Linked DNA regions of Arabidopsis thaliana. The protein of the gene in region 4 interacts with the protein of the main gene of each other region in a pairwise test. Each region holds a gene or a part of one and is shown on either strand. Other genes may lie near its edges.

Region 1 (5,764 bases), on a different chromosome or scaffold from region 4:
TTTAGTTTTTAATTAGTAAACTCCGTAGAATCATATGAGTTGTTTGATAATAGGTATAATAAGATATACTATAGTATATTAGTATCCGAACAGTCATATAATGAAAACTTTTAACCAACCAAACTAATTATAACCTTTTTGTACCAACCCACACTAATGATTCTATCTATTAACTGGTTTAGCTCAATCCTTTAATTTTCTGTGCTGATGGAGAAGATAGTAATTAGTAGAAGAAAGACTTATGTGTTTGGATACTTTAGAGAAGAATTATGTTTTAATAAAAAGAAAACATTTTAGTATGTCTCTATGATTAGTACCAAATGGTACAAAGTCCGACATACGTATCACTTGGTCGCACGAGCACAATATTCGTATCTCTTTTGTAGGTTTTATGTTACCAAAGTGCTGAGATTTGTTACTCCTCTATCATATATAGCAAACCATTAGTAAATATAATTATGACTTTTATCAAATTTATATTTTCTTTTAGTTTTTATGTAGGTTTTCTTCTTAAATCAACAATCATTTAAAACAAGATTGTTTGTAAGTGATTTTTTAAAAAATCACAGAACCAAATAAATCATAGGGGATATTCCAGTGAATCGGGATGATGTCGTCTAAAGTTTAGTGGGTTCGGAAAGCATCGATCTATTCTACGAACAAGTGAACCCTGCCCGAAAAGCTTTAGGTCAATTACTATGTCTTGAAAGAAAAATAAACATCAATACAATCTCATGTTTCGAAGCTTGAAAAAGGTAGCATTTTTCTCATAAAACCTTGGACACTTCCACGAAACAAAATGCATTTATCTTGAGTTCTCTAGCTACTAATGATAATGCAAATAAATACTGAAGCTAAACAAAATGTAAACAAATTCTAAGCACAATATTGACCATTTATCAAATCTACCAACTTAAAAGTTAGTAAATATCAACATCAAAAATATTTGAGGTAAATTTCTTAAAATACTTTATTTAGTAATGGATAAAAAACAAAAAAAGTTTAAATCACCGTGGAAGTTGTTGAGAAGTTACTTCTAAGATTTCTTACAACTGTGCTTGGCATTTATTATTTCTTACACAGTTAAAACTCAAGTAGAATAATTATACTAATGTCGGTCTTTAGCAAGGGGATAAAAGAGGCATGTCCAAGATGTTCATGTATTATAATTTCGGTTTTCGTTGAATTGTTGAAATTGTGAACAGTTTCATAAAACCAAGTAAGAGTATTCAAATAACTTTTTGTTAATCAACTGTATAAATAGGGAGCAAATTTAAAAGGATAATATGGCAAAAATGTCGTATTTGAACATAAAATTAAAAAGATGTAGGAACACTGTAGAGTATTCCAAATATTGCATGTTATAAACTTTATTTTTAGACATCTTCATTTGCAAACACGTTACAAGTTGAATAGTCTATCATGAACACTGTAGAGTATTCAAAGTACTGTAAATGAAAAAATGTAATTTATATATAGTCTAATGTATTTAAAAATTTAAACCATAGAGAGGAATATACTGTACTTTTGTAAATTTGGTCCCCTAACTAAAGATCTAGTAGTAGAAGATGGAAATCCACAGTTAATATATGCGTGATTCAACGGTGCCCTCTTTAATTCCTCACATGAGTTTTGCACACAATCTTTCTCTCTCTTTTTCTTATTCTATGTTCCCATATTTATCCCACAAACGTTGATCCAATATCTTACGCAAATTAAGGCAAAACAGGAAATTTTTGCAAAAGAGAAAGATATGGAGGTGTTGGGTAAATAAAGTTGAAAATGTACGAAAATAATGATGCATTTATTTCACAACAATGGGTTTCAACATCAGATTGCTTCTGTTTAAATCTTTTACTACTTTCAGTTTTATATCTCTGATAAACTCTATAATATTGACTGATTCCTAAAGGACACTGTCTCAGGATCTATCCCCTACATTCTTGTTCTACCTTGATGGATCATATATTTTACCTTAGTAAAGAAAATCGTCCAAGAAATTCATCATTAATTAAAAACATACATATAACATAGTCCTTCTTCGAATATAAGACTTCAATTCCTCAAAAAAAATTAAACGAAATAAATTATTTTTAAATATATATTCAAGAAACTGATGTTCATCGAGTTTAATTATTCAGTTGAATTACAATTCTTACTTTTAGAAATTTGTATTGCGACCAAGAAGAAACATTCTTTAAGCTCAAAGCTTCATATAATTTACACATACGTAATTTATAGATAACACGTTGACCGAGAGTATTAGAAGCTCACAGTGCTTATAGGAAAGTCAAAACTGACTGCATCAGTACGATTTTTACGTGTTCGTTTATGGATTATATAATACAAAATAGCTTATACATCAGTTTTAAAAAAATTAAACAAATTAATTAAGATGTAAAACACTATTAAAGTCGTAAAGAGAGAGTAATTAAAAATGAGAAGAAGATTTGACAAGACGAGCCAATAGACAAGAATGTAGTACCGTCAATCAACCTTTATAAAGTAGTAGTAGTATATAAAATTACTAAATGTTTATTGGGATTTGTTTTTCTGCAACATTTTCTTGTAAGCAATCGTTTTTAATGCTTTGTGTTCTGCACAGTGCTTTGTCATTGGCTCGGGACTAACATTTTTTCTAGTATTATTTTATTTTATTTTAATTAAAATATTTAATTTTTCTTGTCTTCAACCAAATTGAATGCTACTGCTGTGTCTTACTATACTTGTTCATGAGTATAATATTATCATCTTAAATTTAGATAACAAAGACAAAATAAAAATTCAAATTCCCATAGAGCCATTATATCGTGTTTGCATGAAACTTTTGTTAGTTAAAAAATACAAATTCAACCTCTCCAACAAGGCAATAACAACCCATGGAGCTAATAATATGTAAACTGCATGAGGATAAGTGTTTTCGTCACACAAGAAGATTGTCAATTTTTCAAAACAGCAAAATATTTGTAAAAAACATAATTCTTCCACTCATGTGTATATCAATAAAATCACAACGACAAAAACATTATTGTAAAATGTAGCAATAAACTATTTGTAAAAATAATATATCTCCATTATAAAAACATTTTTGTAAAATTGATCAATTATTAGATCGAATAGTGTAGAAAAAACCAATATTAAAAATTTGGATTGTAGCAAATCAAATATTGGAAAAAACTATTGAAATCCCGGTTGAACAGAAAACGAATCGAAAAAGCTAACCACAAAGCAAAACAAAAACAAACTATCAACTTCAATCATCGTAATTTTTATAGTTAAGACTTTAGACTAAATAAGTAAAAGCACTTCAAATAACTAACCAGAAAAAAATGGAAAATTAACAACAAATAGAAAAATATCCCAAAATTAAATAGACACATGACCTGACCCCACCAGCTCTCTCTTCTCTCCCCATATATCGCATTCCCTCCAACTCCTTCCTCTTCCATTAATTACTAAACCCAAACCCAACCAAAGATCTTCACAAAGAAAAAAACAATTGGTGGTATCAATGGGGAAGAAGAAGATGAAACTCTCTTCTCTGTTCAAAGGCGGAGCCGGAGGATTACTAGCGGTTCCTCTCTGTTACAATGCCAAAACTCTTTCGTTCCGAGTCGGCGACGACATGATCAAGACGGTGAACTCTGTTTTCTTCGACCACCACCACAACAACAACAATGGAGGAGATTTGTTGGAAGCGGAGACGCCTGAGTCATGGTTTACTAACTCGTCCGAGACAGCGAGTCACTCAACCGAGTCGGATCAAGACCTTGACGCTGAGTCCTTAGAGATGGTGGTTCGTGGCGTTGTTAGATCGGAGCGGTTATTCTTCGATCCAGGAGTTACGAGTTCGATTCTGGAAGAGATTGAAGAGAAATCGAAATCGGATTTGAAATCGAAGGAAACGGTTGCGGTGGGAGAAGATCGGAGTACGCCGATTGAGGAGATTAGTGTCGCGGTGGCGATGGAATCCGAGGATCCGTACGGTGATTTCCGGCGATCGATGGAGGAGATGGTGACGAGTCACGGTGAGTTGGCTAAAGATTGGGAGAGCTTGGAATCGATGCTCGCTTGGTATTTGAGGATGAATGGGAGGAAGAGTCACGGCGTTATCGTCAGTGCTTTTGTTGATCTTCTCTCTGGACTCTCTGATTCCGGCGCCGGAATAACGTCGGCTTCGGTATCGGATTCGGCTCGTTATTCAACCGCCGTTTCGTCTTTGCCGTCGTCGCCGGTTTATTCGTTATCTCAAGGTCAGACGGAGATTCAAGAGGAAGAGAGACGGAGCTGTTAAAAATAAAAAAAGGCTTAAGATTCGGTTTTAAATTTTTTAATCTCCGGTTTTGTTTAGATTAATTAACCCTTTTTGGATTTTGTAAAAAGTAATTAGTGGTTAGAGGAAAAAGAACCATTAAATATATATCAAAAATATTTTTAGAGCCATTATTGTTGATTTATGTGTATAACAGTGCCTTTTGTCATAACTCGAAAGTTACACTATTTTTCCCCCAAAATTCATGAAACTCAGCGAAGTTTATGCCAACAGATTCAGAGAAATTTTGTATAACAGCCCCATTTTAAAAGGAAATATACATAAGAATAAATTCTGTGATACTTCTTTTTATTTAAGCTCTTTATTTTTTACTTCTTTTTTAGGTTTTAAAGGACATAGAATTATAATTTCTCATTTTTTTTGCAGGCATATTATATAGCCTTTCTCATTAGATGTAGGCATGTAGCTCCTTTGGCATCCATATTAAAAATTTTTTTGTCACAAATATTGGACCTTACATTTTTTTTCCCCAAATAAAATTTGGTATTACGAATTTTCGATGGTTACACAAGGACTACTACACTAACATAAACTGTAAGACTCATTAAATATCATGCTCGGATAATTCATGTATTAACATTAATAACATAGAGATTTTATTTATTGATTTGACTCTTAAAAGCATCATCACGTAAGATATTTAGCAAAACCCTTTTTGTGATATCCATGCTGGAGTTAAAATCTTGAAAATAAGCGTAATAGAAACACCCGTAGTGTATGTATAAATGTAATTGTCATGAACTTATGAGATTCAAGTTTTAAAAATACAGAAAAGGATAGTGTATTTACGAGGGTGCATTAAAAGAGAATGTTGGTCTATAGTAACGTTTGAATTGAAATGTTACAAAAGAGATTTGTAATTTGTATTTTGTATTGTGAAGTGAATGGAGTAACATGAGATGAGCAATGGTGCTGTGGTCAGTGGTCACACACACACAGGCCCTGTGAATCCCAACATCATAGACCTACTCACTTCTCTCTTATCTCTTTTCATTTATTACTCTACATTTAATTTTGGGACCAACCTAGACGACGACGTTTATTTGTTTTTGTTTTGTTTGTTTTGTTTTGTTTCCTTTCTTTTCATAATTTTAGAGCTATGCATGTTCTCATTCCTCCTCAATTTCACAAAATTGATTTTTCTATAGGAAACACATATAACATAGGGCTGGTCCTCAAATATATACGAGATAGTATACAATTTGGAGTTTTTCAAGAGTACAGAAAAACTATAGCCAAATATTTGTAACAAATAAAAACACAGAACTGTGTCTGTCACAAACATAGCGTCTAACAGTTACTTTTACACAGCTTGTTTTCTTTGTTTCTACGGTACTTACAAAAACCAGAGTCATTTTTCGTCTTCTACAAGTATATAACAGGGGCCCAAACACAGTACATGCACAAAATCTAATATCTAAATACATTACG
Region 2 (5,716 bases), on a different chromosome or scaffold from region 4:
GCATTCAAAATTCGTCACCAAGATTGCAATTTTCTTATCATCTTCGAGCGTTCATCTCTGTTAGATTATCACGGTTTGTTTGAAGTCTGTTCTCTCGTGGAAGAAATTGTCGATCTCTCTGTTATCCAACTCTTTGTCGCGTTTCTTTCAGAATTTCTATATCTGTTGGGTCTCTGTTCTCTACTAGAAGAAATCGTCGATCATTGATTCAGGTAAGTTCTCGTTCTTTGTTATCCAAGTTTCTGCTTCAAGCATTCATCACCAAGATTCCAATTCGTTATTGGGGTTCTTGCAGAAACTTCTTCGAACATTCATATCTGTTAAGTTTTCACGTCGTTGGGTCTCTCTGTTAATCTGCTAGAAGAAATCTTCGATCATTGATTCATGTAAGTTCTCGTTCTCTCATAATCAAGTTTCTTCTTCTTCAGCATATATTCGTCTCTGTTACACTTTCACACCGTTTCTACTGCTAGAAGAAATCATATTCATTACCATGATTCCAATTCTTTTACTGGGTTTTCTTTTAGAATAATAGATCACTGTTTGTTTTTAGAGATCGAGTTTGATGAATTTGGTTTCTCGTTTCTTGGATCAGAAGCAAAAATGTCAGAGGTGTTAACACGCGGGTTTCGATTTCGCCCAGCTGATGAAGAAGTGACAGACTACCTTATGCGGAAGACACAATCGCCGGAGTTCAGCTGCTTTATCAAAACCATAGACTTGTACGACAAGGATCCGTGGGTACTTGGGCATGTGAGAGATCCGTGTTACAATCACTATGAATGGTATTACTTTGTTAAGAAAAACCCCCTCGGGAATGAGTACTTAGATAAGCCTAGATTGAACGGGTTTGAACATCCACGCTTGAAATGGGATGTGTTGAAGCAGATACATGATGCTCTGAGTTCTGGTCAGAACGTCCCACCAAGTGTCTTTACTTACGGATTCCGATTTCATCCGACTGATCAAGAGCTACTCTCTTTGTACCTCACTCCAAAGGCCCATTCACCAGACTTCAGCTGCTTCATAAGAGAGAGAGAGAGCTATATGCCATGGAGCCATGGCTTCTTGAACATGTTAGATCTCCTTTTTACAAGGACAGTGAATGGTACTACTTTGTGAGAAAGTGTTCGTCTCGTCGTGAAAAGCTGAATTTGATGTTCTACCTCAGGGGCAAGAAGAAAACATGGAGGGTCAATGGTGTTGTTACACAAATCATAGATAATGACATAGAGAAAAATGTTCTGGGAACTAAAACAAGATATTCTTTCAATCTCGATGTGGGGCGTGTCCACTCAATGACCGGGTGGAAAGTAGAAGAATTCCAATTGTCTTCGGATCCTGTTTGGGCGGTTTGCAGACTCACTTACCTGAAAAACGATTCCTGCGTGATTGATGATAGACCAATACTTCCGGGAGAAGAGCATCCTAAGCTTGAGTTGCAAGCATTGAAGAATTTACATGAGGTGTAAGTCAGTGTGAACCTAACATTTGATTCTTTTCTCTTTTTTGTTTTGTTTTGTTTAAGCAACATCATGAGTAGTGTGATGACTCTCTCAAACATTGTCTTTCTTGAGGAATATTAACAGAATGGTTTTGCTAAGGTCTTGGCCTCTATACATATAATTCAAAGTAGAGAAAAAAGGTTTTCAGATTCTGATTTCATTCGTTTTGAACATGAAGAGTCCTTGATAGAAGTATCATCATGACTTGATGATGATGTATCACTGTCTTCTTGAAGCTTTCTCTTGTTAGAATGGCTTAAGATTTTGCATTCCTCAGCTTCATTCCTCATTATAAGTTGTTTGATTCGCTTTACATCTGCTAGCTTCACCGGTTTCAACAAGAATTCCTCTGCTCCTTCTTTGAGACATCTAAAAACAAGAAGAAGAAGTCGATAAGTTTAGATCACAGTGTAGACACAAATATGATCCCATCTGTATCACTACACATTACACAATCAGTACTTACTCTTGTATACGAGGTAAGATGTTCTCAGATGACATAATCACTACTGGTACTTCTCTGAATGCTGAAGATTCCTGCACATATCAATGGAGTTTTGTATAAGCAGCATTAAAAAAGCTTTGTTTAAGTCTTTCTCAGATTGGTAAATCCATTATTATTGTTATTACCTTAATCTTTTTAAGGAGATCATATCCTGAAAGTCCTGGCATTGAGTAATCCGTCACTATCAAATTCACCTTCAAATCCTGTTATGATGAAAATCACAAACAAAATCAAATCTTAATACCAAAACACATAAATCACTAACTAGACTAGTTCATTTCTAAATCTCATTTGATCATAAAGACAAGAAGAAGCAATAGCCAAAGCCAAAGTTGCAAAGGTTTCACTCCTTCGGTCTTTCCTAAATATACAAGAGTTCTTCTCAGTAGATAGCAAAAGAGGGAAGATTTATTCTTAATTACCTTAAGATTAGAAGCCCCTTTGCCTCCATCTAAGCCAAGATACTGCAAAGCCCTAGTTCCACTCTCTACAGTCGTCACTGAAATAACAAAAAAAAAAAGACACTTGTAACTAAAAAACAGAGGAGAGTTTGTTAATGAAGAAGAAAAACAGAGGAGAGTTAAAACCAACAAAAACAGAGCAGAAAAAGATTGGTTTTGAGTTTTTACCTTTACAAGAAGAGATTCTAAGCAACCTCTCGATGACTTTACGATCCACAATACTATCATCGACGGCAAGAACATGCAACTCCGGAGTAGTAACAGTCAAATCTCCACCGGCGGGAATCTCCATCCTCATGACCTCACCAACCGCCATTGTCAAACTCAGAATAAAAAAGAGAGCAGATTGGTTCCAAGAAGAGGAAAGCTTTGGATTGAAGACAAAGGAAATGAATGTGATAAAATGAAAGAAGAAGAAGTTAGGTTAGGTGACATAAATAAGAAGGGAGAGGTGGTGGGGTTTAATAAGTACTAGTATAGTAGATAGAGAGAGATTTGGAAGATCGGATCTTGCGGGGTAAGATCTTTGAAGAGGAAACAAAATCTTAAAAATGGGTCAAGTGTTGATGTTATGTGTTTGGGAAGTGTCAGAAAACACAAATAATCAAATGTGTCTTCAAAGGTCAAAATCTTTGGGCACCGAATCTTTTTTAAGATTTCAAAGATCTTTGTTTGGTCTGTTTCTTTCAATCCGACAGCGACTACTCCCTCGTGACCTGGAACTTTCCTTCTGCTTTTAGTAATTTTATTTTAGTTTTACCTCTCTCTCTCTTCTTTTTTCTTTTTCTTTGCCAAGTCGGCTACTACTTTGCATTTTACTTACATATCAATCAATGATCTAAAACCGGTGGTTATTGCTCAATTAATCTACTTCTATATTCATTTTAACTTCAACATTGTATTTTGTATTTTCCTATACACGTGATTCGTTTATACTCTACTAAATTTTATTTATGTGTAATGGTATGATGGTGATACTAATACAATTTAATCCTCTTGTTGTCTTTTTTTTTTTCTTTTTTAATTTGGGTAAGAAGTATTTTACAAGGTTATCTTAATTTAATTTTCTTTACGTCAGTAAGGGTTATTATTTTATTTAAAGACAAAAGGGACATTTTTTATTTTTTATTGTCATCGTTTTCAGTTGAGTTTCCTTTATTAAATTGATTGAATTTTGTATGCAATAAAGGCACTCTGTTTAGTGGACCATTGTGTGTGATTTGTGAGTCTCTTTTGCTTTTGGACAAAATCTTGAGAGAAAAATATGGACAAAGTATTGCGGGTGGATCCTTTTGTCTCAATCATAACATCTTCTAAACGAATTGCAAGAGGACTAAGGCAATAGTACATGTTATTTGGTTTCAAATCAATTAAAAAACGTATATTATACGATCCCTAAATAAGTGTCAAACATGAAATTCCTAAATTAAATTGGAGAAATAATACCAGGACAACAGCCATATCATATAAGGATCTCTTTGCAGATTTAAAAGGTTTTTTTTTTTATTTTGCAACAAAAGGGAATAGTTTTGTCATCATTTCATTTAAGTTGTTTAGTGATTTTTTTTAGTTGACCATCATTGTGTGATTTTGTGAGTCCTTTTTGGACAAAATCTGGAGAGAGTAAAATCTTCAAAAGTTGTGGAGGAGGATCCTTTATAGTTTGTAACATCTTTTAGCCGATTGTGAGAGGACATTGACAAAAACATTTTGTAAAGAAAACTGGTTTCTTAGCATTAATTTAGAATCTAGCAAACTTTTTGTAACGATTTGATAGATATCTACAAATATCAATGTTGAGATCTACAAGAATCTAGCAAAAACATGATGGTCTTCACACCTAACACTTACGAAAAACATTATTTTGAAAAAAAAAAAAAGAGTCAGTCATTTGAAGAGAAAATTATTACAATGTTGATCCACATGTCTAAACATTTGATGATCGTGCCAAACAAAACATTGGTGATAAGAACATTACTGAAAGGAAAAGGAAAAAACCATCAATATGTTTCACATTTTCTTATTTTCATTGCAATTTATATATGGAACAAACTTGCTTTCAAATGTTTTTTTCCACCTAGATTTTAATGTCTTATGTTTCAAGTTATCAAGATCTTTGCATACATTTTGAATAATAAAATAAACAAATCAAGAGACAGTCATCCATTTGCTCCGTACCTAAGATTTATGAAAAGAAAATCCTAAATCCAATTTAAAAAAACGAACCACAACCACCAAAGTCTTTCATGTATTCAGTTATTTTTTAGAAGTCAATAATTTGATTTTAAACATAAACGAACAGTTCCTGAATAATAGAAACGGACTATTGATGATATAGTCACGATAGCTACAAGAGGAGAAAAAACACTATAGTCATAACAACGCTAAAATATATATAAAAGTGTTCTCCGTTTGTTGGTTTCGTAATAAATAATGCTTCATCATATAGTCACGTACTGATTTGTTTACAAAGTTTGCTTACAATCTCAAGATACGATGACCAAAATACCAAAGATATTACTAGTTATTTTTCAAGACTAATATTATTATCGTATATAAATATACTGTTTTTCTCATAACAACATTATTTTCAGCTCATTGTTAACATGCTTATATGTGACAGTAATATATACACAAATTGATACAATATTTTTGTCAAACTTTAATTTTATGACTTATCACATAGAACAGTATTGATTTGTCTATATGCGTCCAGTGCGATAATAATCAAGTTTGACTCTAAGGTATAATCAACTGGGAAAAAATTAGTTCCACTAAAACAAGAAAATATGACTCGCTTCCACATCATCAACCGGTACCAACTACCAAAGAGGAGATATTTGAAAACCAAAGTGTTAATAAAATCGTTTAGTCATCGAACAAATCAGAGACTACGAATAAAGTTAAACATCAAATTGGACTACGAGGATTCTCTTTATATAGGTAACGACTTCTATATTATTAAATATCGAGGCATGGTCTGAGTAAAGTTGTCCTGATATGCGAGAGACATTGTCTCGAGACCAGATCGAAGTAAGCGAGGAGATCCAAGACTTGCTTGGAAAAGTTTGTCCTGTTTTGGTAGGACTATGTTTCTTTTTGTAAGACACATATACAAATACATCCGCGAGTATGATCAAAATCCAGGCACATATATACACTTGGGCGAAACACATATGTCGTCATAAACACTGCATATTCAATAGATAGTCATAGTAGACACTTAACAATCCACAAGTAGTGCA
Region 3 (7,464 bases), on a different chromosome or scaffold from region 4:
GATAATAGTTAGGACGTTTTTTTTTGTGTGCAAAACATATTTTTTTTTCATTTATTCAACCTCCAAAGGGGAAAGAAGATAAGTTTTTGAGCTAAGGTTTACAACATTGATAAGAAAGATAGCAAAGCAAAAAGATTTGAGGATAGATCTGTATAAGCTATCTAGCAACATGCCACAAGCGAGATTATGGTGTATTGATTACACCTTTTGCGAATCATTCGGGAATTTTTTAAAATGTCACTATTAACAGATATTGTGATTTTGAAAAACAATACTTTGCCTTGAAAAACTATACTTAACCGCATATTGAAACACCTGTTGCAAGAGAACGTTGTTCGAAATTCTCCATTTTCTGTTCTTGCACTTGCACATGTGGAGTTTTCTTAACTTTGATTTGCAAGAGAAAACTTAAAGTTCAAGATTTCTTTTTTTTTTTTCTTTCTTTTAGAAAAACTTTTAAGTGAAAAGAAATCGATGGCAAAAGAAAAAAAAGGTCAAAGAAACGAATATCGTCGTTGATTTTAATTTTACCATACGAATTTTAATTTAATTATCACATATATTAAATAATTTTAAGAACCGATTTTAATCTGCAACTGTACGAAAGAAAGAGTTTTGATGCACGCTCAAGCGTGTAACGCACTTCCCAATCTCAAGCATGCTTGCTCTCTCTAAAGCCTGTCTCATTTTTAAAATCCAAAATATTGTTTTGTCAACTAATTTAAAACAGTTTTTTTTTTAGAAAGCTATTTAAAACTGTTTCACAAGATACACTTTTCGAATATTCATAGTAGTTTTTGAAACCATACTCCAATCAATCTGATTACTTGTAATTAAAGTATGGTCTTGTAATATTAATTTCCAAAGGTGTGATTTTATAAAATTCAAATTTAAGGCGATAACAAAACTTTTGAGCTTACTTTATCCATTGAGAGGCAAGTTTTCCTACGCAACAACAGTTGACACGGAAGTATTAGAACACAAAAATAGTAAATTCAAAGGATTCTTCTATCAAAATATAAGCTTCCAACTCAAAACTAATTGGTAATGAGTGAAGAACGTTATATCTTATAAATATTACTTAAGATTATACTAACTTCTAATATGTGACAATATCTCTAATACGATCCTTCTAAATGATGGCTTTTCTATCCATTAGTCTTGATATGTTTGGGCATAGATTAGTGGACCGATGTGGATTGGGTTGACTATATGCAGATCGGACACTGATACCATATTAGATTATGGGCTTCCAACTCAAAATCAATCGGGAATGAGTAAAGAGACTTATATCTTATATATAACTGCTTAAGTTCCTACTAAACTTTCAACGTGGGACGATATCTCTAATATCGATCAATTCAATAATTTCAACCATGCCGAAAGCTAAGACGATTATGAGAAAAAAATTGTTTTCTTATACGCCGAGCTGGAAAAATGATCCACGACAGTCTATCATTTCTATGCCAAATTATAGTGAAAAATAAAGTCAAGATGTAATTAAGAGACATAGTGTTTATATTTTTGGAAAAAGATCAAAAGGATGCTAAAATTTGAATACCAGATACCGTTACGATTTGGATATCAGTGGAGTCCGAGTGCAATTGTCAGTTTACTATCTTTTGTACCATATATTTTAGAGCGTTTTTCTTAACGTTATCATATATTTCGATAGCGTTTTTCTAAGAATAATGATATAGTCGATTTTAAGAGTATGTACAAAAAACATAGGCTACTTTATGGTTTCTACAATTGATTTGCTAAGTCAATTTTATCATTTGCTTGTACATCAGTGCATGAAAGGAGAAAAGGGAAAAACAGTAAACAGATATGTATTATCTACATGAATGGACATATCTTAGACCTCGTGAAGTACCTTAAAAACTTATAGGAGAAAGAGGGTTACTACTTACTACCTCATCTAGACCTCGATTACGCGATCAAAGCAATACTGGATATCAGATAGATGTGGTCTTATCTATCAAAATTGTTTAGTCCGTTTTCGAGTTTGGGACAAATCTCCTTAGAAACCAGCTAGAATGGCTTAATCTATATATAAGATAATAATAAGTTTAACACCAAGACTTGCCGAAGTTAAGTTACATGTAATGCTACGAGATTCTCTGATACATATGTTATAAAGTGAAGTTAAAACACTTTTCTCAAGAAACACACTTACATAAAAATTAGTCACGAAGGTAAACAAGTGCTAAAAAAAATGAAGGGTCTTCTCCAACAAGAAAGACCGTTTTAACACTACTACTTGGGGTTCGTAAATTAATACAAAATCCTGGAATAAAACCATTTATCATCTTATATCCAACCAAACAAATTAATATAAACACTGTTAAAAAATAAGAAATGAAATTTAAATTAATGATAGAAATAATCGAATTAGGTGTTTTGATTTTTTTTTCTGTGACTACAATATATTTAAAACCCAAAATTTTACAAAAATCGTTTTAGTAAATCGGTTTAAATCTGAAACAAATGCTAAGGAAAGTATTTAACAGTGATTGACATTATGGAAATAATTTAATTTTTTTTGTCCGTTTAACAGTTGGACAATACTAGATTAACAAGAATCAAAATGTATCTCCACAATAATGATGCGATATAAATGATAGTATAAACCAAAATCTTTTTACTTAAACACTTTCCTATCTCTAACATAATTACTTTTTAATTTCCCCCATTCAAATAACACCTAAGTATTATTTTACCTGGTTTTTACTTTTTAACACAATTTAATTGCAAACAAGTAGTGTGTTTTATTAGTTTAAACTTTAAAGTCTTTAGACTAGAGAGAGGAAGTGGCAATAATACTAATCCGGTTCAGTCACTAAACCAGTGTACAATATATGGTTGGTCCTACAAATGATAATTTTTGATAAACCTAAAAAAAATGGTGTATTATATATCACCTGAGGATAGGGATACAAGTTTCTTTTAGGGTGGAAATCCTTATATATAAGTGTAGGGACTACTCACCAAAATCAAACAACTCACTTCAATTTGTAACGGTTTAAACTCGGTACAATATGCGGATTTTGATTCGGTATAATGACATTAAAACACCACTTTAACAAAAACCACTAGACAAATATTAGTCATTTCGGTTCAGTTTCGTTTAAAAATTACGAATTTTCGTATAATTGAGTTTATTATTCCGTTTGGTTTAAAAGAAACCATACAAAACAAAACAAACCAAACTAAACCAAATTGGTTATGTTTCAAAGATTCTTTCTAAGTCTCTCAATAAAATGTTATTTGTTTTGTAATGTAAAGAAAAAAAAAAGAATTGCAGAAAAAGAGTGGATAGTGTTAAGAAGATGATCACACACAATTTCCATAGCCATTTATAGATAGCTAGAAGAGCTAAAGAAGATTCCTTTTTTTAACTCTGCTGGAAAAATCTTTTTGTCTCTCTCTCTAAATCTAAATATTATATACTACTACTCTCTCTCTCTAGACCCCATTCACATATTTAATCTTTAACTCATTTCTCCATCGACGTTCTTGCACATCCCACTTTCTCTCTTTCTTCAACTTGCAAAAAAGATTAAAAATCCAATCTTTCGTTTCTGGGTCTGTTGAAAAACGATGACTGTTGAACAAAATTTAGAAGCTTTGGATCAGTTTCCTGTAGGAATGAGAGTTCTTGCTGTTGATGATGACCAAACTTGTCTCAAAATCCTTGAATCTCTCCTTCGTCACTGCCAATACCATGGTTCCTCTCTCTCTCTCTCTCTCTCTCTCTCTCTCTCTGTTTTCTTGGATCTGTTTTTCATCAAGTTTTTAGATTTTATGTCTCTTTGATCTGTGATTTGATCCACATATGGTGGAATCTTTTGATATCTATCTACCTAACTTCTTGTATACACAAATCTAAAAAAAACTTAGCTTTTTTTATTCCATTGTTAGATTTTGTAAGATTTGACATTTGTCAGAGAGAAAGTTTCATTGTTGAATTGAATTAAAAGTTTAAGACTTTATGGAATCTGTTGCAGTAACAACGACGAACCAAGCACAAAAGGCTTTAGAGTTATTGAGAGAGAACAAGAACAAGTTTGATCTGGTTATTAGTGATGTTGACATGCCTGACATGGATGGTTTCAAACTCCTTGAGCTTGTTGGTCTTGAAATGGACCTACCTGTCATAAGTAAGTCTTATTATTATTATTATTTTCTAATTAAACTTTTGTCATTTATTTCCTTAATGACTCACTACAGGAATAAAGTTTTGATCTCTAGACTTGGTTTTGTGATGATGATTTTCTTGTTGTTGCAGTGTTGTCTGCGCATAGTGATCCAAAGTATGTGATGAAGGGAGTTACTCATGGTGCTTGTGATTATCTACTGAAGCCGGTTCGTATTGAGGAGTTGAAGAACATATGGCAACATGTCGTGAGAAGTAGATTTGATAAGAACCGTGGGAGTAATAATAATGGTGATAAGAGAGATGGATCAGGTAATGAAGGTGTTGGGAATTCTGATCAGAACAATGGGAAAGGTAATAGAAAACGTAAAGATCAGTATAATGAAGATGAGGATGAGGATAGAGATGATAATGATGATTCGTGTGCTCAAAAGAAGCAACGTGTTGTTTGGACTGTTGAGCTGCATAAGAAATTTGTTGCAGCTGTTAACCAATTGGGATATGAGAGTAAGCTTATCAATATGTCACTTGATATGAGAGTAAGCTTATCAGTATGTCACTTAAGTTCTGTTTTGTGTGTGTTGTTTTGATTGCAGAGGCTATGCCTAAAAAGATTTTGGATCTGATGAATGTTGAGAAGCTCACTAGAGAAAATGTGGCCAGTCATCTTCAGGTTACAAAGAATCTTTCATGTTTTTAACTTGCGTAACCCGAAGATTTGTTTTTTAACACCTCGGAAGCTTATGACTTTGTTCGCTGTGGTTTGCAGAAATTCCGCCTTTACTTGAAGAGGATCAGTGGTGTGGCTAATCAGCAAGCTATTATGGCAAACTCTGAGTTACATTTTATGCAAATGAATGGACTTGATGGTTTCCATCACCGCCCAATCCCTGTTGGATCTGGTCAGTACCATGGTGGGGCTCCTGCAATGAGATCTTTCCCTCCAAACGGGATTCTTGGCAGACTCAATACTCCTTCGGGGATCGGTGTCCGCAGCCTTTCTTCTCCTCCTGCAGGAATGTTCTTGCAAAACCAGACCGATATCGGAAAGTTTCACCATGTCTCATCACTTCCTCTTAACCACAGTGATGGAGGAAACATACTTCAAGGGTTGCCAATGCCTTTAGAGTTCGACCAGCTTCAGACAAACAACAACAAAAGTAGAAACATGAACAGTAACAAGAGCATTGCTGGGACCTCCATGGCTTTTCCTAGCTTCTCTACGCAACAAAACTCGCTCATCAGTGCTCCTAATAACAATGTCGTGGTTCTAGAAGGTCACCCACAAGCAACTCCTCCAGGCTTCCCAGGACACCAGATCAATAAACGTTTGGAGCATTGGTCAAATGCTGTATCCTCTTCGACTCACCCTCCTCCCCCGGCACATAACAGTAATAGTATCAATCATCAGTTCGATGTCTCTCCATTACCGCATTCTAGACCCGACCCCTTGGAATGGAACAATGTGTCATCAAGCTACTCTATACCATTCTGTGACTCTGCCAATACATTGAGTTCTCCAGCCTTGGATACAACAAATCCCCGAGCTTTCTGTAGAAACACGGACTTCGATTCAAACACAAATGTGCAACCTGGAGTCTTTTATGGTCCATCCACGGATGCTATGGCTCTGTTGAGTAGTAGTAACCCGAAAGAAGGGTTCGTCGTAGGCCAACAGAAGTTACAGAGTGGTGGATTCATGGTTGCAGATGCTGGTTCCTTAGATGATATAGTCAACTCCACGATGAAGCAGGTGTGACATTAAAGCTTTTGCCAATATTAACCATTCTGATTTGGAGATTATTGTGATTTCTGACATGAAGATTTTGTGAATGTGACAGGAACAGAGCCAGGGAGATTTGTCTGGAGGAGATTTGGGATATGGAGGGTTTAGTTCACTCAGAACATGCATATGAGAGAACAAACATTTAGACATAAATCAAATATCATCATCTTGTTTGTCTCTTTTTCTCGCTAATCTTTTGTGTATTAAAATTGTAAACTATTTGTTTTCCCACTGGTTCTAGCAATTTAGGACTCCATTAAAGAAAACAACAAAGAAAAAAGGATTCATAAATAAACTTTCTTACTTTTTTATTTTAATGTATAGTTGTCCCTTTTGTGTATGAAACCAAAATTCACGGGCCTATGAAGAAACAACCCTATAGAAAAAGTCTATGAAGAAAAAGTGATGATGACGAATTTTAAAGCAACAAAGATTCCTTCGTACACTCGAAACCATTATGTTAAAGTCAACCCAAATTTGTATTATAACATTCTTGTGTTTGTATCTTACATTATTTAGTTCAGTTTTTGAGTTTGATTGAGAATAGTAGTTAGATTGAAACAGACGACGTCTAACCGGAAACATAACCGGACTTCATCGAACCTATTCACACACTGTTAAAAAGCTTGAGGTGCATAACCAAACAGCTTTGATTGAGAAACTATAATTTCATGATTTTCCAAAAATAGGAAAACATGAAGAATATCAAAGTTAGCCTAAAATGTTACCAATGTTTGCATAAGCAGAAGATAGGTCTTACAAAAGGAAGAATAAGTCTCATACATGTAACCAAAGATAATACAACAGTTCCTACTTCATGACCCCTTGGGTCTTGAATCTTGATTTACCAGTTGAGTCAATCAACGACCATGTTCTTTGGCTTCTCTTCTTCTTTGGCTTCTTCCATTTTTACATCAACACTTCCACTAGCTTCAGCAATGTTCTCCTCTCCCTCCACCACATTCAGATCGACGACGCCACCTCTTAACGGTTTTGTTTCTTCGGCCGTGTCCTTCATCTCAACATTGTTTAGGTCTGGCTTGGTGTCGTCTTCATGTGACTTGGATTGATCAGATGTAATCGAAAGGATTGTGTTAATGTTACCATTGATAGATTTGAGTGCACGGAAGCTCTCATTCACCTTGGTACTCGGTGGTTGGTTGTTTACATATGCTTGGACTGATTCCCGAGCGTTCTCATCAAGAAGTTTGCACATCTGAATAACCGGAGAGATATTAGTGTGATATACTAGTTCTAGACATTAGCCTACCACCAAAGGAAAAAAGCATAGCTTACCTGGTTATAATGTTGAGCTATTTCGACCCGCGCTTGGTTGTTGTCAACAGCAGCCCCCATAATTTCTTCTGAAGCTGCAGCGAGATTCAGAGAGCTCACATTAGAATCAACAACTCGTTAAATAAAGAAACTTGTGATGGAACTTACTGATAGGATCAGTCTTAGGAAGTCCATCAAGCATTTCATCATCAACCTCAATAAAGCTCACTCCCACTGTGTCAGC
Region 4 (6,137 bases):
TGTTTTATTCTGTGTCTATGAGTTTCGTAGGTTCAACATATAACATAAATAATTTTGGTGAATTTGAATTTACAAATAGTTGATTAGTGTGTGTTTCTTATTTGCGATAAGTAAATGAAAAACACATATGTATATAGTCGGCTTATACGAAAAAAAAATACTTTCTACAACGTCATGGACCGCCTTAAGCACCACCTTTGTTTATTAATTTACATTGTCCTAACTCCTAAGCACCTGAATCAATGTCTAATTAATGAAGACTTGAAGAGGTCGCTTTCCAAGGACCAACTCTTATGTTCATGAATCTTTTTCATATCATTTCTTGAGAAGAGTTATATTTGATTAGGTTCATTGCATAGTCTCTCGCGATTCTTGTCATACATAAGAAGACTGAAACTTTCAGGGAGTTTCGAACATACAAATAAGAAGATTTTTTAAAGTTTCATGAGTATATAGCCAAAAGAGATGTTGGCAGACAAATGGGTAATTAAGCGAAAGTGAAGAAGAGTCAAGTTTGCCTCGAGACGAAGAAGTCACATGAAACAACAAACAAGTGGGATGATGGCTCGAAACGAGAGAACGGCGCCGTTTGCGGGACTAACGGTGCGAGCGGTAAGTGAGGCCCACTTCCTACTAGCTAACGTCCAACTCTTGTCCTTATATTCTTCGACATTTATCCGTACGGTCTCTTTTTTTTCTTATACTTGGTTCAAAATTAATCAAACTCTTACTTCCTAAGCCATTAATCCATATCGATAGCTACATCTCCCAATAACGTGAGCTAATATGTTTTAAGGCTTCGATGAAAATGTACGGTTCAACTGCAGATAAAATCTGGTGTGGTTTAAATAGTAATAAAAAAAATATATATATATATATATTAAAAAAAAGTTGTTACTACTTAAAACGCACGGTAATGTGCGGTTGAGTCATTATTCAAAACCTAAGTATACATTATTACGATTATCGTAATTTACCGCTATTAAAAAAACTTTCTCTATGATTTTGTCATAATCATAATATTACATGGACCAAGGGCACATCATTACTTATTTTGTTTTATTTTCGTGTCATGAAGAAGGCTCATCATTACCTTTAATCATATGCTATTTATTCTCACGAAGAAACTTTGAAAACCTAGTTTCTATTACTACCACTTTTATTGGACTCTCAAATGATTGGGTAGCTAACTTGTTTTCAAAAATGGGGTTTGATGTTTTATTTGATGTCTTTTTTAACATGATTTTAGGCCAAAACCTCAATTTGTCTATGTAATAACATCAAGATAACAAACTAAAACGAAGTGGTTTTTTTTTTATTATAAACTTGTCAGCCAAATTTATCCAATCGGCTAAGATAAGTAACTAAAAGTTTATATAGTCACTAGTCAGAGATACTAACCAAATTTAGGAAAAGCAATATCCACATTTTAAAATTTAAACATAAGGGACACGTGTGGATATCGGTGACTCAAGATTTTACATGAATTATTTTAGTAGAGTCGTGTGTACCCCGTGAAGGTGATGAATTACAAAGATTTCAGCTTTTGCCGCTATCAACATAGTTATAAATTGTAATATTATTTTTTGCTGTGTAAATTATTTTCTTAGTTCTTGCTTAGCATGAATAAGTATATCATCCAATGTATACAGAAGATGAGCTTTCTTACACAATACTATATAGTAAGATAAAGTTTCCAGAAGTGATAACTAAAACTTGTAACTCAACCATTAATACTCAACAAAACGCGAACTCTAAAGTTTAAATGAATTCTTACTTAGCAATATTTTTAAGCTAACTATGAATATAACATCCATACCTCAAATTAAATCAATCATAACATATATGTTACTAATCACATCCATATATTGCTTAGGCCTTAGGGTATAAGGCAAATACTTCATTCTTATAAAGCAAATTACTTTCCAGTAAAAATGAGACAAATAAATAAATGTGTATCACTATTAAGTATCATTTGTTTGTAGTAACACCGAATAATAGCGTTTATTTTCTTTTAAAAAATATCTCTCTAAATCTAGAATTAATAAAATATTATTTTACTTTCTTAGTTGTTTTGATTAAAAAAAATGAAGTGATTAGATATAAGTATATAACATCACGAATTTTTTTTTGCGGATTGTATTTTCTTGATAATTTTGATTCGGAAGTTATAATTGTGGCTTAATGAGTTTACCATTTCTTTTTTTTTTTTTTTTTTTTTTTTTTTTGAGTTTACCATTTCACTTCACATATATTACTGTGTTCTGTAATTTTGGCCAAATCAACACTTTAATATTTTGTTTGTAGAAAAACGTATCTTGAAAAAAGCCAAACACGGTCCACGTTAAAAGAACCAATATATTAAAGGCCTTTGTTTCTTCTCTGGTTTAACACTCACGTGAAAATATGCAGTGAAAAAGAGAGTTTTTCTATAAAGAGTGTTAAAAAGGACAAAAATATACTTTAATAAAATAAATTTTAATTAATATTCATGTCAAAAACAAGAGAAATTTAATCAATACTCCAAAAAAACGTTAAAAAGACACACAAGTCGAATGGAGTTAGTTTTTTTTTGACGTAACATCCTATGTTGTCGTCTCTGCCACGTCAGAAACCTGCTGTAGAAAAAGACCAGAGACTGCTAAAAAGGTAAAAAAGTAAAAAAAAAACCTGCACACCGCAACGGTCTAATTTGTTTTTACTTAGTTAGCAAATGACCAAAACACCCCTGTCGTTGAACGAAAAAGAGCGATTCTTCGTAGAAAGGTTTTAAGAATTTAATTAGATTTATTAACCACCCTTGATTACTGCTATTTATTTAAATTCTTAAGGTCAAAGGTTAGACTAAAACCGCATCCTCCAAGGTCATTAAATACAAATTTTGTTTCCCTTAATGACAAAAAAAAGGATTGTAAAACGCCGCAACCGCCGTTTCAATATCCTATAAAAGTCTCTGTTCTATTCAGAGTCACTCTCTTCACTTACATGTTTTGCTCTGCTTCTCTCTTTATCTTCTTCTTCATCTTTTGTCACTCTTTTCTTCTGCTCTAAACTTTTTCTTTTCGCTGCAAAAAAAAATTCCCAGGAATATTTCTTAAAAGAAATTTCATCCCTAAATAAGAAAAAAGCATCTCCTTCTTTAGTGTCCTCCTTCACCAAACTCTTGATTCCATAAGCATATATTAAAAAAGCTCTCTGCTTTCTTCAACTTTCCCGGGAAAATCTTCTTGTTACAAAGCATCAATCTCTTGTTTTACCAATTTTCTCTCTTTATTCCTTTTTTGCCCTTTACTTTTCCTAACTTTGGTCTTTATATATAAACACACGACACAAAGAAGAACACACATAAGTTAAAACTATTACAACAGTTTTAAAGAGAGAGATTTAAAAAATGGAGACAGAGAAGAAAGTTTCTCTCCCAAGAATCTTACGAATCTCTGTTACTGATCCTTACGCAACAGATTCGTCAAGCGACGAAGAAGAAGAAGTTGATTTTGATGCATTATCTACAAAACGACGTCGTGTTAAGAAGTACGTGAAGGAAGTGGTGCTTGATTCGGTGGTTTCTGATAAAGAGAAGCCGATGAAGAAGAAGAGAAAGAAGCGCGTTGTTACTGTTCCAGTGGTTGTTACGACGGCGACGAGGAAGTTTCGTGGAGTGAGGCAAAGACCGTGGGGAAAATGGGCGGCGGAGATTAGAGATCCGAGTAGACGTGTTAGGGTTTGGTTAGGTACTTTTGACACGGCGGAGGAAGCTGCCATTGTTTACGATAACGCAGCTATTCAGCTACGTGGTCCTAACGCAGAGCTTAACTTCCCTCCTCCTCCGGTGACGGAGAATGTTGAAGAAGCTTCGACGGAGGTGAAAGGAGTTTCGGATTTTATCATTGGCGGTGGAGAATGTCTTCGTTCGCCGGTTTCTGTTCTCGAATCTCCGTTCTCCGGCGAGTCTACTGCGGTTAAAGAGGAGTTTGTCGGTGTATCGACGGCGGAGATTGTGGTTAAAAAGGAGCCGTCTTTTAACGGTTCAGATTTCTCGGCGCCGTTGTTCTCGGACGACGACGTTTTTGGTTTCTCGACGTCGATGAGTGAAAGTTTCGGCGGCGATTTATTTGGAGATAATCTTTTTGCGGATATGAGTTTTGGATCCGGGTTTGGATTCGGGTCTGGGTCTGGATTCTCCAGCTGGCACGTTGAGGACCATTTTCAAGATATTGGGGATTTATTCGGGTCGGATCCTGTCTTAACTGTTTAAGAAATAACTGGCCGTTTAACGGCGTTTAGTGAAGTTTTGTTACCGGCGACGGCGAGGATTAAAAAAAAACGGCGATTTATTTTTTGAATGAAGATTTGTTAAATATATTAAACTTTTTTGTAACTTAATTAATGGTGATTTTATTTTTAAATAAAACTAATGGTAAATGGTGAACTTTTTGGCGTTAGCCGTTAAGTAACGTCTGTATATGAACGGCGTGGAGGCAAAACACGCACGAGTTTCTTCACGCTTTACTACTTTTCTTTCTTCTTTTGGTCTTTTGACGTATCACGTGTTGTCTCACGTGACGAGGAATCACCGAATTTGTGAAAAGCTTTGGTTAATCTTTCTTTTTATTGGGTTTATTTGACAAATAGCAATATTAGCAAACCATAATTGTTCTACTTTTGGAGCAAATGTTTTAGAATTACACGTGGGGGAGAATCGAATCCTGGCAAGTGTCTATGCAAAAAAATGAATTTGATTCATACCAACTCATATTATTTTGAACTTTAAGAAAGCTACATGTGTGGAAAAACTTCTATAATACAGTAGTACTTTAACTTTTGTTCTTTTTTAACTCTATAGTAACTTTTTCTATTTCCGTTTTAAGTCTCTATACCTGTGACATGTCTTATAATGGGCAGCTTTTTTATTGACAATTTCTATTTTCATAGAGCATACATTCCTATATACGAACAAATTAAAATCAAGTCGGTCTAGTCGAGGAATAACCATTATTAGAAATGTGATCTAACTAATCCAAAAGCTAGCTCAAAAGTCAAAGATTGCTATATCTTTTATATTATGTCTAAGATTTTAATCTGAAGCGATGTAGGATATTCTAATACGCGTTTTTGAAATATAGATGGGAAACGGTCCAACGAAAAACAGTCCAAGTCCAACATCTCGGAAATACAACAAGACATACTACTTGTATGGACTATATAAGTGGAAAACCATTTTTGTCGGAATTTGTCTGTTGGGCCAATCATAGGCTCTGATACTATATTAGGAATGTGATATAACTTAACCAAAACACTACTTAAAGAATTAATGATTGTTACATTCTTTATGTAATGCCCAAAATTTTTAATCCCAAACAATGTGAGACATTGTAATAACTACCGCAATAGTCTAATAAATTACTAATGATGAGGTAAAAATCATAAATGTTCAAATGGTAAACAAGATATGCGTAGTGTATACGTAGAGGACGACTAGTATAACAATAGGTCTCATGAAATGTTGCAGTGCTCATTAAATACACGAGATAGATAGATAGAATCTTATATTTATCCTCACTCACAAATTTATTGAATGTTTTCACTCTTCACGTACACTTCTCGTGTCATTCCTATGCACTTCACTTGTTATTTATTTTTTTCTTACCTAGCTAGTATTAGAAACCTTGAAACATTAATCAACTTATTGTCCGAAGACTGAAGATTTCATCGTAACATTGTGACTTATCATATAGAGATATTGGACCAAAGTTAAAGGGATTTCGATCATTGTCAGTGTTAATTTCAAAAAGGGAGAAAAGGTTCTAGTTGAAGTTGAGCGTCTTTTTCAAGTGTGATTTGAGAGCTGCAAAACCCACACAAATGGTAAGGCCCATAAGAGAGCACGACATTCATTTTTATGGGATTGTGTTGACATGTTGGATTGTTGGTGGCAGTGATGTGGACCAGCTAGGACCGTTTAGTCTGGTTTTTAGTTTTACAAGTGACAAGTCCAAAGTATAAAATTTAATCTACTCACGTACGTTTGTATTGTAGTAAACGTGAAGTCTTTGTAAGCCCATGGTCCATTGTCCGTTTGGAAAAAAAGGTTTTCAAGAGTTTTGAACAGTATGTAGGAGGAGCAAACAAAAACGGCT

Evidence for each region.
Region 1: the proteins of CRF1 (region 4) and OFP13 interact in binary tests that used the Arabidopsis thaliana proteins (3 or more experiments, as listed by UniProt).
Region 2: the proteins of CRF1 (region 4) and ARR7 interact in a protein complementation assay, tested with the Arabidopsis thaliana proteins (one study listed by BioGRID).
Region 3: the proteins of CRF1 (region 4) and RR12 interact in a protein complementation assay, tested with the Arabidopsis thaliana proteins (one study listed by BioGRID).

The regions. Positions count from the first base shown.
Region 1 is NC_003076.8:1,396,174-1,401,937, forward strand, and holds OFP13 (ovate family protein 13), read left to right. Parts: upstream 1-3,221; 5' UTR 3,222-3,511; coding exon 3,512-4,294; 3' UTR 4,295-4,611; downstream 4,612-5,764. UniProt on the Arabidopsis thaliana protein: Transcriptional repressor that regulates multiple aspects of plant growth and development through the regulation of BEL1-LIKE (BLH) and KNOX TALE (KNAT) homeodomain transcription factors.
Region 2 is NC_003070.9:6,576,292-6,582,007, forward strand, and holds ARR7 (response regulator 7), read right to left. Parts: upstream 3,024-5,716; 5' UTR 2,788-3,023; coding exon 2,640-2,787; intron 2,510-2,639; coding exon 2,433-2,509; intron 2,214-2,432; coding exon 2,136-2,213; intron 2,043-2,135; coding exon 1,972-2,042; intron 1,875-1,971; coding exon 1,628-1,874; 3' UTR 1,542-1,627; downstream 1-1,541. Other genes in the region: AT1G19040 (NAC (No Apical Meristem) domain transcriptional regulator superfamily protein), read left to right, coding at 604-1,122. UniProt on the Arabidopsis thaliana protein: Functions as a response regulator involved in His-to-Asp phosphorelay signal transduction system. Phosphorylation of the Asp residue in the receiver domain activates the ability of the protein to promote the transcription of target genes.
Region 3 is NC_003071.7:10,723,101-10,730,564, reverse strand, and holds RR12 (response regulator 12), read left to right. Parts: upstream 1-3,292; 5' UTR 3,293-3,603; coding exon 3,604-3,730; intron 3,731-4,010; coding exon 4,011-4,163; intron 4,164-4,291; coding exon 4,292-4,666; intron 4,667-4,755; coding exon 4,756-4,832; intron 4,833-4,928; coding exon 4,929-5,912; intron 5,913-6,000; coding exon 6,001-6,075; 3' UTR 6,076-6,264; downstream 6,265-7,464. Other genes in the region: PKL (chromatin remodeling factor CHD3 (PICKLE)), read right to left, coding at 6,802-7,161, 7,242-7,315, 7,389-7,464. UniProt on the Arabidopsis thaliana protein: Transcriptional activator that binds specifically to the DNA sequence 5'-[AG]GATT-3'. Functions as a response regulator involved in His-to-Asp phosphorelay signal transduction system.
Region 4 is NC_003075.7:6,793,048-6,799,184, reverse strand, and holds CRF1 (cytokinin response factor 1), read left to right. Parts: upstream 1-2,786; 5' UTR 2,787-3,391; coding exon 3,392-4,255; 3' UTR 4,256-4,555; downstream 4,556-6,137.